Arabidopsis thaliana: one gene and its partner. The protein of the gene in region 2 interacts with the protein of the main gene of each other region in a pairwise test. Each region holds a gene or a part of one and is shown on either strand. Other genes may lie near its edges.

Region 1 (8,879 bases), on a different chromosome or scaffold from region 2:
GTCACTGTTGTGGGTTTATATACTGCACCCTCATTTGTTTTGTCCTGGAAACTGAGCAGGGATCGATAAAACTGATTCCTTCCAGCATTGTTCAGAGATGGATGAGGATGAAGATGAAGGCTTGGGAAGGTCTCTTGTAGATATAACTAATATTACGTGTCTATCTTTAATCTTTGTTCCTGTCTTAAGTTGATTATTTACCATGTCTCAGGGCTGTTGCATTGTTCGCTATGGCTCTTCAAAACTTTGAGAGAAAACTGAAATCTGCAGCTGAAAAGAAGTCCTCAGAAATTATAGCATCAGTCTCCGAGGAGATACATCTGGAGTTGGAGAATATCAAGTCCCATATCATAACAGAAGCGTATGTTTGTATAATTTATTCTGCATTCTTTCTTTTAAATTATCAATCAAAGATCTTGTTAATTATGGTACAGGGGAAAGACAAGTAACCTAGCCAAAACTAAGAGAAAGCATGCCGAAACAAGATTACAAGGTACATCAACACATTATATCTTAATAGTTAATACTGTACTCGAATTCACAGTCATGAACATTAAGAAAGCTTAGAAGTTCAAATATACTATCTTTGCAGTTTAATCCTGATTCAAGGTAGTAGATCGGAAATTTGATATCAAGTATTACTCTTTAGATTGCATTTAGTCTTGAAGTACTCACCATCTTGCTTCATTCTTGTGCTTTCATGTCTCTTTGATTAGACACACACACACACCTAACTATACTTTCGGCTCTAACATAGACATGAAACTTGCATTTAACATAGTTATATCAAGACAAAGCTAAATGCTCAATTCATTCCTATGTGGAGAATAATAAAAAATTGAGCTGTGTATTGTTGTGGAACATGAGAGTCTGGAAATGTCTCCATATTTCCACTCATTGAATAAAAATATGCAAGATCCGTTCTGATCTATTGTGTTCACTGATAATATCTAATCGTCTAACAGAGCAAGAAGAGAAAATGAGAATGATCCATGAAAAGTTCAAGGACGATGTCAGCCATCATCTTGAAGATTTTAAGAGTACTATCGAAGAGCTTGAAGCAAACCAGTCAGAGCTGAAAGGAAGCATAAAGAAGCAAAGTATGTTAACTTCTGTAATTCCTGCTTTTACTACAACGAATTCTAACACTAGAAATACTTGAAACATATGATGTTATCAAAGTTAGATTCTTCATGGCAAGATAGTTTTAATATAATAATAGCAGGAGGACAAGTATTTCCTAAACTCACTTGATAACTTTTTATCTCTCTATGACAGGAACATCACACCAAAAACTCATTGCACATTTTGAAGGAGGCATCGAGACAAAACTGGACGATGCGACCAAAAGAATCGATTCTGTAAACAAGGCAAGTCATTGTTCTGCTTCTTAAGAGTCAGATTCTAAAAATGGTTAAATCATGAATTCAAAAGCACAACTTAAAAATGACGTATTGGTTTACAGTCTGCGAGAGGAAAGATGCTGCAGCTGAAGATGATTGTCGCAGAATGTTTGAGGGATGATTGACACTGAGTCTCACAGAATCAATCAACCACACGTACGTCGTTATTCTCCATTTTAAAACATAAACTAGACGAACTGTGTTAACCAGGAAAGAAAAACCTCTCAAGCAAAACCAGCCTTTGGTTTAGTGGTCTCATGAGTTCAGGCGAATAAAGAAGATATAGTAGATGATGCTTTGACTCATTGTCATTGATTCGTATTCGTATAGAATAGTTTATTGTTCACTGAACCACTACAAAACTACTTATATCATAGAGCCTTATTTTATATAGCAGTTTGAAGGTTTCTTTTTAATTTATTTTTGCCAGCAACTGCAGATATTTTTTATTAAACCAACAACTTTTAATTAGGTTATTGATATCTTGATATATATCGAAGCAAAACCAATCCAAACATTTTTCTTTTAAAAACCAGAATATTTTGCAGACGTTGATGTGAATTTTAATTACAATATTTTACTTTAACAGAGATGTATTTCATATTGAATATCAAAACCAAACTGAACAAAGAATGGTCACAATTCGATATCAATCGAATGAAACAGAAAATAAAATGTTGGACCCAACAATTTTACTGTGATGATAAAAACATGGTAGAGATAATTTTGTTTGTAAATAGAGAGATCTCAAATCACAGAGGATTCTTTTTTTACGGTCGGTAAAAGAATTTAGAATGTGTCGAGAGGGTAAAAATGGAGAAGACGACAAGATAGTAGCAGTCGTTAGAAACAAACAAGAAAGAAGGGAGGGAGACAAAATAACACAAAGGGGTGGATGAATCACGCGGCATTCACGTGAAGTGCACGTGAACTTGGCCAAAAAAAGCCTAATTGTGGGTCCCATTTAAAGAGAAAACTAAAGCCTTTAAGAAAGGGCCCATCCATATATGTCTTAATAATGGCGTGAAGGTTCTTTCCGCTCACGTGGGCCTTTTGTGCCCGTCTCTCTCGCATGTCACTCACTACAGTTTTACTAGTGTTTTGTTTTATTTTTGATAACAACATTATTGATTTTTTTTCGGTCTACCTAAGTTTTGACCTTTCTTTTTTAATTGTGAACAATTGAACATGCGTATTACTTATTGATAATACTTTTATCTTCAATAAAAAAAATAACACACGAACATAATATAGAAATAGTGTGTTCCAATACTGGAGATTATTTAGTAAGTTCAGTTGGACGCTTTGTCATTGCATAGTTTGGAATTTATTCCTAAACTTTCTAAGAACACGTTCTTATAGGAATTTGCATGACGAAAAAATCAATACTAGTTGCATTATTGTTGGAGCATCATCGGGAGTGATTTTTTTTGTGTTTTCCTATTTACTACATTGTGTTTTCCTGACCTTTTAAATAAAAAGGAAATACACAAAACCATATATAAATATATGTATATATATATCTGACTGTGCTCAAGTAAAATTCACGGATCAGACGTTAAAAAAATGATCATGCTTAATATTTTCTCATTTTAGATGAAGACAAAAAAAAAAAAAAGGAATTGCAATCGTAGATTTGACTTTATTTTTATTTAATTTTTCTATTCTTTTTCCGAAAGCAGAGAAAAATGGAGCGGTGGAGAGTAGAGAAGTCGGTCATAAGAATGTCTCTCTCTCTATTTCTTTGTCTTTCACTATCGCCCATACATTATCTTGCTTCTTTCATTTATTCCATCAATATTTTTGTTTTAAAATGAAAGATTTACACATTAACATGAATACTTATACTACTCTTTATCGCGTATATATAGTATAGTCTATGTTATTATGAATTTATGATTATATTTTTTCTATAAAACGTGCGAAAACTCATTTCACATATACAAACAAATATATACGTTTTGTATTAAAAAAAAGCAACTGTAAATTTTATAAATCTGAAATGTAACATTTGAAGTCGACCAAAGTTTGTAAGGTAATAATTTGTACTAATTCTCCATACTGTGTCATAATCACGATTCAAGGATAAATATATGAGTTGTGGACCAAAACAAATCCTCCATATCAATCAATCATAAATGAAATAAGCGAATATACATATATACAACCGACTATATATATATATATATGCTGCTCTTCATTAACCCCAAGAAAGAAAACCAAAGTGTGAAGTCCGAATCTCTCTGATTCTACAATTCACAAAAACCGGAAAAAAAAAAAGACAAGTAAAGAAAGCTTTGTTCAGTTTACTTCAATGGAAGCAAAACCCTTAGCATCATCATCATCTGAACCAAACATGATTTCTCCATCATCAAACATTAAACCAAAGTAAGTTTATTATGGTTTCATCTACACTTTTTGCGACTTCTATAAACATATACACATGCGTGGTTTTGAAATAATGGGCGCTTATGGTTCTGTCGGTGCTTGAAACAATTTTGTCTTCTCCTGACTATTTTTTTTTTGTTAATAGGTTATTTATACGTGACTCTTTTCTTGCAGATTAAAAGATGAAGATTATATGGAGCTGGTGTGTGAAAATGGGCAGATTCTTGCAAAGATTCGAAGACCAAAGAACAACGGTTCTTTTCAAAAGCAACGTAGGCAATCTCTCCTGGATTTGTATGAGACCGAGTACAGCGAGGGTTTCAAGAAAAACATCAAGATTCTTGGAGACACACAAGTTGTTCCGGTGAGTCAGTCTAAGCCACAACAAGATAAAGAAACCAATGAACAAATGAACAACAATAAGAAGAAGCTAAAGTCCTCCAAAATCGAATTTGAGAGAAATGTTTCGAAAAGCAACAAATGTGTTGAATCATCAACATTAATTGATGTTTCTGCTAAAGGTCCAAAGAATGTTGAAGTTACTACAGCTCCTCCTGATGAGCAATCTGCAGCTGTTGGTAGATCCACGGAATTGTATTTTGCTTCTTCATCGAAGTTTTCTCGAGGAACTTCGAGAGATCTAAGTTGTTGTTCTTTAAAGAGGAAGTATGGAGATATTGAAGAAGAAGAATCAACCTATTTAAGTAATGTAAGAGAAATTAATTAGCTGCTTGTCTTAGTTCTTTCACATGGTAGATCATTAATTGTCTTTTTCTTATTGCTTATGCAGAATTCAGATGATGAATCAGATGATGCGAAGACACAAGTTCATGCGAGAACAAGAAAGCCGGTGACTAAAAGAAAACGAAGCACAGAAGTCCATAAGTTATATGAAAGAGTGAGTTTATATGTATGAAAATTTCACCTTAGTTAGTAGAAAAAAAATAATGTATGAAAATTAATGCTAATTAAGGATTTGTTAACAGAAACGAAGAGATGAATTCAACAAGAAAATGCGTGCTTTGCAGGACCTACTACCAAATTGTTACAAGGTTTGAGATTAACTTAAATCACATTACATTGTTTACTTAGTCTTAGAGAGTTAATTAATTTTCTCTTTGTGGAGATTTCTGAATATCTGTAATTGTTGATGATAGGATGATAAGGCTTCATTGTTGGATGAGGCTATCAAATATATGCGGACCCTTCAACTTCAAGTTCAGGTATTCAAAATAATACACCAATTCAATAAAATTTCATTGAGAGATAATAAAATGATTCAGGTGTTAATTATTTAAACACAGACTTGTGTTTATATTTACATATAAATTTGTTTTTTAACATTAAAATATACTTTGTAAAGTGTTTTTGTTATCAAATATTATTGCGTTTGGCTTTTACCTTTACGAATGATTCTTGATAAAGTCACTAGAAACTAGTTTCATAAGAGAAACCAAAACAAATTATAAACGTAATTAAACACTAATCAATAAACAATCAAAAGTTTATTCCTTATTTATTTTACTACAAATTTTTTTACATATATATAAGATTCTTAATTAACATGCTCTAATAATTATTTACAGATGATGAGTATGGGAAATGGATTAATAAGACCACCTACGATGTTGCCAATGGGTCATTACTCTCCCATGGGTCTAGGAATGCATATGGGTGCAGCAGCAACACCAACATCAATACCGCAATTCCTGCCTATGAATGTTCAAGCAACCGGTTTTCCGGGGATGAACAATGCACCACCACAAATGCTAAGCTTTCTTAATCACCCAAGTGGACTAATTCCAAACACTCCTATCTTTTCTCCATTGGAAAATTGCTCTCAGCCATTCGTGGTGCCTTCGTGTGTTTCTCAGACTCAGGCTACTTCTTTTACTCAATTCCCAAAGTCTGCGTCCGCCTCAAACTTAGAAGATGCAATGCAATATAGAGGAAGCAACGGTTTTAGTTATTATCGCTCGCCAAACTAATGATTTGTAGAAAGTTGATGTTTTCTCCAACTAACTAACTTTAAGCAAAAAAAAATGATCGTCTACTCTGTGTTGTTAGTCTATGGGCTTTTGGGCCTTGATTCTTGGAACGATTTGAACTTAATTCCAACTATTTTCAAAGTGGATGTACAAAGTAAAATATAACAAATATAAGTTATCATAGACTCTATAACAAAGTTATAAGTAGAGGACGTGCAATTGCATAATGATGGATGATGATGAGTGTTCAATTACGATAAACCGATTTTAACGCAAACCCAACTAAGATGAAGACAACTCATTTGACCTAAATCGTAATTTGAAACGAATTTTGCCATGTTTTTGGGATTAAGGAACAATCTCAATGATGAGATTGAGTAAAGTACTACAAAACTTGGGCTTGATGGGCTTTTTAGTGGACTAATATCTACTTTATTCTTTCTTTTTTCAAACATTAAAAAATTAATTGGGCTTTTTCAAACACGAAAACAAGGGAGTGCAATAGTGTGATGAAGATGAGACTCACACATTGAATTTCTGATATTTTAGCGTCAGGTGCGTTGAAAACTTGAAATCAATGTGAAGATTCTCTTTTAAAAATAGATGACTCTTATTTCATGAGTTAACATGATACTTAAAGAAAGTGGATAGTTAAGTCTAAACCAATTCTTTTAGTATAGAAATAAAATTTCAACCACTTCCTTTAAATATGAAACCATGCAAAAGTAGATAACAAACGAAAAAGTGTTTCATTTTAAGATTCGATGTCACGATCCATCACATTGCACCGTTGGTTGATAAATATCTCTCATCTTTGTTTATTTATTTTCACAATGTTGTACTTCTATTTCTATAACATTTTCGTTTGAATTCAAATACCAAATTAACTCTCCAAACAATTAGTTCATCAAGTATTTTGTTCACAATGATATGTTAACAACAAATCATTGATTCATTGTCCATGCCGGATTATTTTAAAGATACAGAAACAGTAAACCTAAGATACAATGAATGCTAAAACTAAATTATTCTCCCAAAAGGATTACTTAGCTTTCATGAGTAATTTTATATTTTTCTTTTATCCACTCATTTTTTATATACTTTCTATAATTGTCTTATTACGTAACAAATATGTGCTATAGGCATATTTAGAATCTACTCTATCATCATACCATATATAAGACACATTTTACTTTATTAATTACTTTTTGTTTGTTCTCAAATTGAAAATAAACAGACGTGTTTGTGCTAACTTCATGTAGTGTTTAGATAGTGTTTCATTCACTGGCCATAGACTTATTTTACAAAGTTATATGTGCATGTCATTATATAGTGTAGAACTTAAAACACCTAACCAAGAACAACAATACACACACACAAACATAAGGAAAAAAAAACTTTTCCATGGGGCTCGTAATTTTCTTGGCACTAATTGTCTTAATCCTTATTATTGGTCTCAGGATATTCAAAGCTTTTATGATTCTTGTTTGGCATCCATTTGTGTTGACCAGAAGACTCAAAAACCAAGGAATCTCAGGCCCAAATTACAGAATCTTTTACGGAAACCTCAGCGAGATAAAGAAGATGAAGAGAGAATCTCATCTTTCGATTCTTGATCCTAGCTCCAATGATATTTTCCCTCGTATTCTTCCTCATTATCAAAAATGGATGTCTCAATACGGTGTCGTTTTCTCCAACTCTCTCTTTGTTCATCTTTTATTTTAGATTTTATTCGAGGATAATGCGTAACACACAAGTTATCTATGTTATATATTATTAGGAGAGACTTTTCTTTACTGGAACGGAACAGAGCCAAGGATATGCATCTCAGATCCTGAACTTGCAAAAACTATGTTGTCGAACAAGTTAGGTTTCTTTGTCAAATCAAAGGCAAGACCTGAGGCTGTTAAACTTGTCGGCTCCAAAGGACTTGTCTTTATCGAAGGTGCTGATTGGGTTCGCCATAGAAGAATCTTGAACCCTGCTTTCTCCATCGATAGGCTCAAGGTATTTTAATCCTTCTTTCTTAGCTTGACTTGAGAAATTAAACATTAGAGCCGAATAACTTAATTTTGGTTGTAAATTTCTCATTTTGTTGATCAGATCATGACGACCGTGATGGTTGATTGTACGCTCAAGATGTTAGAGGAGTGGAGAAAAGAGAGCACTAAGGAAGAAACAGAGCACCCGAAGATTAAAAAGGAAATGAACGAAGAGTTCCAAAGACTAACAGCTGATATAATAGCAACCTCTGCGTTTGGAAGCAGTTACGTCGAAGGAATCGAAGTGTTTAGATCACAAATGGAGCTTAAAAGGTGTTATACAACTTCTCTCAACCAAGTCTCTATCCCTGGAACTCAGTAAGTTAATCATTCTCCTACTTTCAGTTCTCAAACAAGATTCTTAGGTTTTGACATATATTGGTCTTGTTTCTTGTATTCTAAGGTACCTTCCTACGCCTTCGAACATTCGGGTATGGAAGCTGGAGAGGAAAATGGATAACTCAATTAAGAGAATTATAAGTTCGAGACTACAGTCAAAGTCAGATTATGGAGACGATCTTCTCGGAATCTTGTTGAAAGCTTACAACACTGAAGGGAAGGAACGGAAGATGAGCATCGAAGAGATCATACATGAATGCAGGACTTTCTTCTTCGGAGGTCACGAAACTACTTCGAATTTATTGGCATGGACAACGATGTTGCTGAGCTTGCACCAAGATTGGCAGGAGAAACTCAGAGAAGAGATATTCAAAGAATGCGGTAAAGAAAAAACCCCAGATTCAGAAACTTTCTCCAAACTCAAGCTGGTAATGTTCATTTTTTTCAAAGGGTCTCTTGTGAGACAATGTTTCTTGCGGTTGAAGAAACCTGTTTATTTCTTGCAGATGAACATGGTGATCATGGAGTCGCTTCGACTTTACGGACCAGTGTCAGCTTTGGCCCGAGAAGCATCAGTAAATATAAAGTTAGGTGACCTAGAGATTCCCAAGGGCACAACCGTAGTCATCCCGCTTCTGAAGATGCATAGCGACAAGACCCTTTGGGGATCCGACGCCGACAAATTCAACCCAATGCGGTTTGCAAACGGCGTTTCCCGA
Region 2 (7,704 bases):
CTTCAACTAGTTACCTTTCATAAATATGGACAACGATCGAGATACCGTAGAGTTCTGGTCCTCACTTTTCCAATCCTTTGCTGACTCAGAACCTAAAGATAATCCATATCCTGTGGTTAGAAGCCCGATAATGACCATGTCTACACCGATGGCCATTGATGAGCCGGTTGAGCCATGGAAAGTTCTTGAATATGGAGGTAAGGAGGTTCGTCCGATGGCCATTGATGAGCCGGCTGAGCCATGGAAGGCTCTTGAATATGGAGGTAAGGACGTTCGACCGATGGCCATTGATGTGCCGGCTGAGCCATGGAAGGTTGGAGGTAAGGAGGCTCAACCGGCAAATGCTGCAGCCGAAGCTGGATATAAGAACGTTAATACGGATCAAGAGAAATCTACTCAAAAAGCAACGGAAAAGGTAATTATGTAGTTGATTTTCTTAGATATATATATGAGTTTTTTTTTCCGTTTATTTATTTTACATATGAGTTAGGTCTAATACGAACTTTGTTATTATATAGGGTAAGGAGAAGGAAGATGCTGCGAAGGAAGGAAGCAAGAGTCTTGGTAAGAGACCACGTGGTTATGAAGCACGCATTATCAATGACAAGGTGAGGACACGTTTGTTTGTTTAATGCGTGTCTCTCAACGAAAAAGACCACGTTGTTCAACGTTTTTTTCTTTCTTATTTTTTTGGAAAAAGGCTTAATGTTTTGTTATTTTGATTTCAAAATGCAGAGGAGACGCAATGATATTAATAGCAAAATTGAGACGTTGAAGGAGATGACACGTTGTAATGGAAAGGTTCATGCATACCAACTTTTTGCCTCTATTTTTTTCATCTAATTGTTGCAAATACAAATTGATACATGTGTTTAATTATCTTTACTAATCAAAATATTTTGTTCATATACGTATAAACAAGAAGTTTATTCTCCTATTTGTGTTTGAAACTTAACATATGTCCTTAATTAAAAAACTAAATTAGTGGTGTTTTTTTAGGACATCCATTTAACTTGTATCAACAAACGCTAATGAAAAATAAATTTGGGTCTGATATTACTAATACAACTTTTGCTTTGTTTTTAATTTGTTATCCGCATGAACTGTACGTAGAGAAACTTAGACTCGAGCCTTGAGTATATCATCGATAAAATACGGGAGATGAAGCTTTGTGTAGAAGTAAGTAATCTGAATCGTCACATTGTTGTTATCTCACGACATGCATGTATATTTAGGATTTCATATATGTTTTTTTAGTTTCAAATTTTTCTTTTTCATTGGTTTTGTTTAATTCAGTTTATCATATGTTATATGATAGTTAAGTGAATGTCATTTCTTACTTGCTGGATTAGACAAAAGCAGTAATTAAAGAAAACCATTTATCATGACTAAACTCAATATTTAACAATGCAGAGTTATTGGAGAAACTCAATAGGTCTAATGATGCCACCGGGCATGGGGGTGGTGGATATTCCGGCACCATGGGTATATCCTTATAATTATGTCCCTCCAAACTACATGATGTATTACAATCACTTTCCGGCAGCACCGGCACCAGGAGAAACTAGCGGCTACGCCAACCAATTTGTACCCTTTACCACTTATCAGGTTTTGATTTGTTTTCTTCTTCATGTGTTTATATTTTTGTGATTGTTAGTTGTTCTTTATTTATCTGTTCTTTCTTGACAATGAAAAATTTACAGGGAGTCAACAACAATAATCAACCACAGACGACAAAGCCGATGTAAACTACAAGATGCTGTAGTATATAAGACCAGTTCATGTTTTAGTATTAAAGACCGGTTCTCTCAAGTTCTTTAATAATATGGTTTGTTGTTTAATGTAAAGGAGTTGGTCTCCCAAGTTGTATTTGAAACTAGGAGTACTATGTGGCTTGCTCTTTGTTGTACGTTTTCGCACTGTTGTATAGTATACTGTAACGTTGTAACGTTTTACATTGTTTATCGTAAACAACTTATAGTATTTTGGTTGTTTAAATGCAATGTTTTCGTGTTTAGTTCTAGTGCGCAACATCATATATTAATTCACATTAATCACCAAGAAGAATCTAGCTATATTGTGAAACTAAGGATTGTTCCGAACATAAACAAAAAATGTGTTGAAATATATTATATTATATCTAAAATAAAATAAATAATATAAATATTATTATTTTGGCAAAAAAACTATATTAATATTGTTTTAAAGAAAAAAAACTTTGTAGCTAAAATGATAAACATATATAAGTGATTTTTTTTAACTTACATATCTCGTTAACGTTTTTTTGTTTTTTCGTTAACGTTTATAATTTGTAAGAAAGATTTAAAAATGAAATATTTTCATAAATATTTAAATATTAGATATTTGATCCGCGGTTTGGGCCTGTAGAGAATCTTAAATTCATTTTTTTTTTCTGTTTTTATTTTCAATCTTTGAGCAAAACAAATAGTTAATGATGTTATAGATTCAATTGTTTAACAAAAACTAACTTAAGAAATTAATTTAATTGAATGATTTTTTTTATAACTAAATTGAATGATATTGCAAATATCTATTTACAACATTAAATATATTTGTTACTATAATGATGTTAGTGTAAAAAATATATTCATTGTTGCACCCAAAACATTCATAATTAAATGTTAGTTTTAAACTTGGCAATCGAAATTTTATATTATTTTTCTTTCAAATCGCTCATATGATGGCAGGTTAACCAAATATGTTTTGCTTGTCCGTTTTTTTTTTCTATCTGTCTCCAATTGTTCAAATAATATATACGAGATATTGAAGAAATGGTTGAGAGAAAAAAATGAAATGGTTGAGAGAAAAAAATGAAATGGTTGAGGTTTATTTAAGAAGGAGAAGTAACGAGAGTGTGCATGTATCCACAAATAACCCAAATTAAAATAGTACATCTAGCTATAAAAAACGTCCCGTCTCAATGAAGTAATCAGACGACGGTCTTATGTATTTGGGTCGATGGCGAAGCTATTCGATAGAGAGTTCAAGATCTCTGATCAGCACATGTTTATATGAAAGATTTTGGTGCATGACTCCTTAAAATATGTATGAGTATTGAAGAGACACGTAACTCGATAAATATATGCAAACGTACGTTCTAAATATCACATCAGAAGCTAGCTTGCACAGTGTTACAAGCCGGTCAAAACAAATTTCTGACTAGAAACATTTTCTTGCCCTTGCATGGACATGTCCATGCATGTTGTTGATATAATAGAAAGTTTATCTTGTTCTCAATCAAAATAAATAATTCTTAAATATTGAAATATGTCATTTTTGTTCGAACTTGTAATAGGAGTTTTACAGTTCTCTTTTCCAACTAGATAATGTTTTTCCAATTTTAATGCAATTTGTTGTATCCATAGCTAGCTTGAGAAGAAAAATAAAATACTAAAGATTAAGAACTGCCGTTCATGAACAAGAATGACACTATTCCCCTGCCGTTCTTAGAATTTCAAGAAAGAGCAAGAAAGCAAATATAAGAAAACAACAAAAATATATGTTTTCTTCTGTCTAATGGATGTGCGTAAATGTGGAACACATAAATATAATAATATAATGGAAAATGAGTAAATAAATTGTTAGAGAAAACCATGGGACGAAGCAAAATCATCTTCTTTGCTTCCCGCTCAATTGTTGGAACTTTCAAAAGAAGCTTCTTGTATCTCCCCTATATATATATAGCTTATGGCTGAACTAACTAGTTTATCCTTAACCCTCCACTTTTCACTCTTTAACAAACTCAAAATCCTCAATTTAGTCAATCATCAATGGAGAGAAACAACCGCAACGAGGGGACTCACGAAGAAGAGCAATGTTCGCTTTCTGATATTATTTATTCGTTTTGTTCAGAAAATCATAGTGAATTAAACCCTTTGCAAGAGATATTCGGTGTTACCAAAAACAATGATCATGAGAAACACGACGAGGAGCCAGACGAGGAAAGTTACCGTATGGCTAAACGGCAACGTTCCATGGAATATCGTATGATGATGGAGAAGGTGAAGATGACTTAATCTCCTTCTTCTCTTACGTGATTCCCTAGCTAATTTATATTTTTGCTTTCTAAACTTTGTAGAAAAGACGAAAGGAGATCAAAGATAAAGTAGATATTTTGCAGGGGTTGATGCCTAATCATTGCACAAAGGTTAACTATTACTTAATTTACTCCATATTTTTTATATATTAGAGTCTAATACAATATCAAGTTTCGAATATCGAGTTTCTTGTGTGTTTATCTACAGCCGGACCTTGCATCGAAGCTTGAAAACATCATTGAATACATTAAAAGTTTGAAATATCAAGTAGATGTAAGCATTAAACTATATCTAATTTAATTTAGTTACTTGTATCCATTAGAGTATATATGTTCTTATGTGTTATGTGGATGTGGTCCAGGTTATGTCAATGGCATACACAACAACTCCGGTTTACACACCACCATTTTATGCAGCAGCTCAAGCACCATGTATGTCTCCTTGGGGCTATTATACGCCAGGAGTTCCAATGATGCCTCAGCAAAACATGACCTATATCCCGCAATATCCTCAGGTTTGATCAAATTAAAGTTTAATCTGATTCCACAGATTCTGATTTCTGCCATCAATCTTTTATCACAGGTATATGGAACAGTGCCGCCAAATCAAACTCAACCTTAAAACAAGCTCTAGCTATGTGGCTTTTTAAGACCCTCCGGCTTTAGACTCGTTGCTGTTTATATAGACTGTCTTTGTAAACTAAGATATGTACATAGATACATAAATACATACGTAGTTTTATGTATAACTTTTAGTTTGATGCCACAATATGTAAAAACACCTGTTTTTTATGTTCTGTTTTGGTTGAGCATTGTTCCTCTGTTATTTATGTTCTGTTTTGCTCAACCTTTTTCTTTGTTGAATGTAAGTTAAATAAACAACAAAGATGTTATGTTACGTGTAATAGTACGTTTGTACCAAACATTACTACAACCCTAGTTTGATAATTTTTATCTTGAATCATAGAAAACGAACTAGATCACTAAAATGTTAAATTCAAGAAGCAGAATACATTCATTGGCTACAAATTATCTACACACTTTAACTTTTTTTATTAAAGCAAGAAGCCAAAATAGTTTTATCTTTAAATGTTACTAAAGTAAACAAAAAATGCTTCCCGTTTAACCTCCACAACCACCACCGCAGCCAGCGGCGCAACTGGATCCATTGACATCGTCGTTAGTGTGAGGTTTAGAAGCTCGGTCACTGCATGAGAAAATCACGGCTGCTATGACGGAGAAAGCCACAACAGCTGCCCAAATGTAGAGTGAGACTTCACCATTACCCGCCGCTATTACCGCGAGTTCTCCTCTCACCATTGAAAGAGTTTTTGTGCATCGCTTTGTGACAATTGTTGAGACTAGTTGATAAAGAGAGTTGTAATTGGCATATTTTCAAATGTGTGGTTTTGCGTTTTCGAGTCAGAAGTCACCAAAAAAAAGATGCGACGACTCTTTCTTATATATACTGCCCTTTGGTTTAACTCTAGGGTCAGTGGATCACAAGCTAGTAGTTAACCAATTGTGTGTGCGGCCACTTGATTGTCTTAAAAAATAAATTAAAAATTTCTTAGTTAGCAAAAAAACATAACTAAGAGCGAGTTTTTAAAAGTGGTCATAAAGTAGAACAATATAAGAAAGTAGCACTACAAATGACATAATTACATAGATGACTATATTTACATAGATGTCTATTTGGACTTTGAATGTATGGATATACGAAAATATTTTGGAGATTTGTTTTTCTGAAGATTCAAAAAATTGATTAGAAGACTCTGATTAGCAACTTAAAACAATTTGAACTATCTAACAAATAAATGGTAAACAGTTACGGAATAATGCAAAGATGTAAAATAGAGAAGCAGTAAGCAAAAGTGATAAACAAAAATCCAAACAAAAAACCAAGAGGTATATATTAACTTAATTTGGTTTACGGAAAAAAAATACATGAATAGAGACAAGAAAATAGATGAGTCTCGATGAGTCTTTCTAGTAAGAAATCAAGAGCTGATTGCATGTGAAGCAACATCCCTAGTGACCTTGACGAAGCCAAAGAGGTACCTAATATATTTTTATTTTCTTTTATCACCAAAGAGGTGCGAGGTGCCTAATAATGAAACGAATATCTGTTGAATATATCCCTGATATAAAGTTAGACCTCAAAATTGCAAAATTTTAGACTAATAAATCGTTGTAACGTGAGTTATGCTAACTCTTACAAAACTTTCTACTAAGGTTTGAGGAAGATGTAATGGTATCAAAACCCAGTCAAGCTTCGTAGCAGAATGGCAAATATCGAATAACATTTTCATTGCACAAGAATATTTCATAGAGTTTAGAGAAACCAATCATGCTTAAAATAGTGATAGCCAGTAATAACATATTTTAGAAAAGACTATTCTAATCACAACGAGTCACCTTCAATAAAGAACGAAAATCTAATGATCAATACCCATTGAATCCTGAATTCCTTGATGAACAATCATGATTACATGAACAAAGACTTATTTTAAGTTTTAATAATGTGTAACAATATGTGCAGATTTGGAAGATTGATATACATAAAAGTTACATAGTCCTTCTAGTTTTAGCTTGAGCTTTAGGGATCTTGTTAATGACTTTGGAGTTGAATTTGTTTAGGAGCTTCTTCATGTCCCTCCCACTTTTACTTGCTGCATAAGTCAGCTCTTCTTCGTATTGCTCATACAACATCGGTATTGTCTCCAAACCCACAAATACTTCACCAAAACACCAAAAATGTTTGTAATTAAAGCCATACTTAAAAAGAAAGGCTTTTACCAAAAAGAAAGGCTTTTACCAAAAAGAAAAAGTTTTGGAAAATGTAGAGTGTTAATCAGTAAATGTGTTAGATAACCTCATTAAGACTCACCGATGTATAATAGAGTTAGAGAGCTGAAATAGTTTCCAACCACTGATAATATCCATAGGGAAACAACGGCCTAAAACGAAACGAGACACAAGTTATAAAATCAAAACAATCTTGGTATGAAATAATTAAAATGAAATTGTGTGTATTGATTTATACCAGAAAAAGGAGTCTGAAGTCTTTGCCACTTGAAATATCATACAATTTGATGATGAACCAGTTTATCTTGTTGAACAAGAATCTCCAATTCGATTCCGAAATCCTTAGATCATTAATACTCGGAGGTTTACTGCGCAAAATAACATTTCTTGAGAGCTTGGTTGATTGATTCATAAAGAAGTATATCTCAAGTAGTGTTAATGTTTTTCTTACCTCTGGATTAGTTGTGAGGAGCCAATGTAAGACCAAATGAGGAATATGAAAATGAATAGTAAGAGGATCTGGCAGAGGAAAGTGATGAAAGGATATTCAACCACTTCGAACAAGAACCATATCAATGTGAATACCCCCAAGATTGTTCCTGATTCTTTCTTGTTCTTCCAGAACATTATATCAGCAACTACAAGCATTTCAAGAGAAAAATCCTTTAGAAAAAGAACCAAAATTAATGTGAAAACGGAAAGAAAAATATATGTTACATCGTCCTCCTCCTAGATTGTGGTACAAAGATCTTCGTCGTCTCGATGAAGAAGCTCTATGTTCATCCATTTCATATCCAAAAACCGCCATTTTGTTTTGGTTTCAGGTTTTGAAACAACTG

The links. Proteins that work in one complex are often made in the same cells at the same time.
Region 1: the proteins of AT1G68240 (region 2) and PIL1 interact in binary tests that used the Arabidopsis thaliana proteins (3 or more experiments, as listed by UniProt).

Annotation. Positions count from the first base shown.
Region 1 is NC_003071.7:19,292,517-19,301,395, reverse strand, and holds PIL1 (phytochrome interacting factor 3-like 1), read left to right. Parts: upstream 1-3,537; 5' UTR 3,538-3,717; coding exon 3,718-3,791; intron 3,792-3,858; exon of another isoform or gene 3,859-3,874; coding exon of another isoform or gene 3,875-3,882; exon of another isoform or gene 3,883-3,965; coding exon 3,966-4,500; intron 4,501-4,581; coding exon 4,582-4,689; intron 4,690-4,777; coding exon 4,778-4,843; intron 4,844-4,948; coding exon 4,949-5,014; intron 5,015-5,377; coding exon 5,378-5,779; 3' UTR 5,780-5,965; downstream 5,966-8,879. Other genes in the region: ASY3 (asynaptic protein), read left to right, coding at 60-129, 212-361, 435-493, 966-1,100, 1,279-1,370, 1,466-1,528; CYP709B1 (cytochrome P450, family 709, subfamily B, polypeptide 1), read left to right, coding at 7,184-7,460, 7,560-7,786, 7,883-8,139, 8,225-8,588, 8,667-8,879. UniProt on the Arabidopsis thaliana protein: Transcription factor. Involved in responses to transient and long-term shade. Required for the light-mediated inhibition of hypocotyl elongation. Necessary for rapid light-induced expression of the photomorphogenesis- and circadian-related gene APRR9.
Region 2 is NC_003070.9:25,572,154-25,579,857, reverse strand, and holds AT1G68240 (basic helix-loop-helix (bHLH) DNA-binding superfamily protein), read left to right. Parts: upstream 1-3,728; 5' UTR 3,729-3,791; coding exon 3,792-4,022; intron 4,023-4,099; coding exon 4,100-4,168; intron 4,169-4,265; coding exon 4,266-4,331; intron 4,332-4,419; coding exon 4,420-4,572; coding exon of another isoform or gene 4,573-4,578; exon of another isoform or gene 4,579-4,640; coding exon 4,641-4,679; 3' UTR 4,680-4,994; downstream 4,995-7,704. Other genes in the region: AT1G68250 (uncharacterized protein), read left to right, coding at 26-427; AT1G68238 (uncharacterized protein), read right to left, coding at 5,180-5,377; AT1G68230 (Reticulon family protein), read right to left, coding at 6,626-6,795, 6,948-7,017, 7,104-7,233, 7,317-7,503, 7,583-7,673. UniProt on the Arabidopsis thaliana protein: Transcription factor involved in somatic embryogenesis. Acts as a positive regulator of somatic embryo formation. Acts as a positive regulator of ECP63 by targeting its promoter and inducing its expression.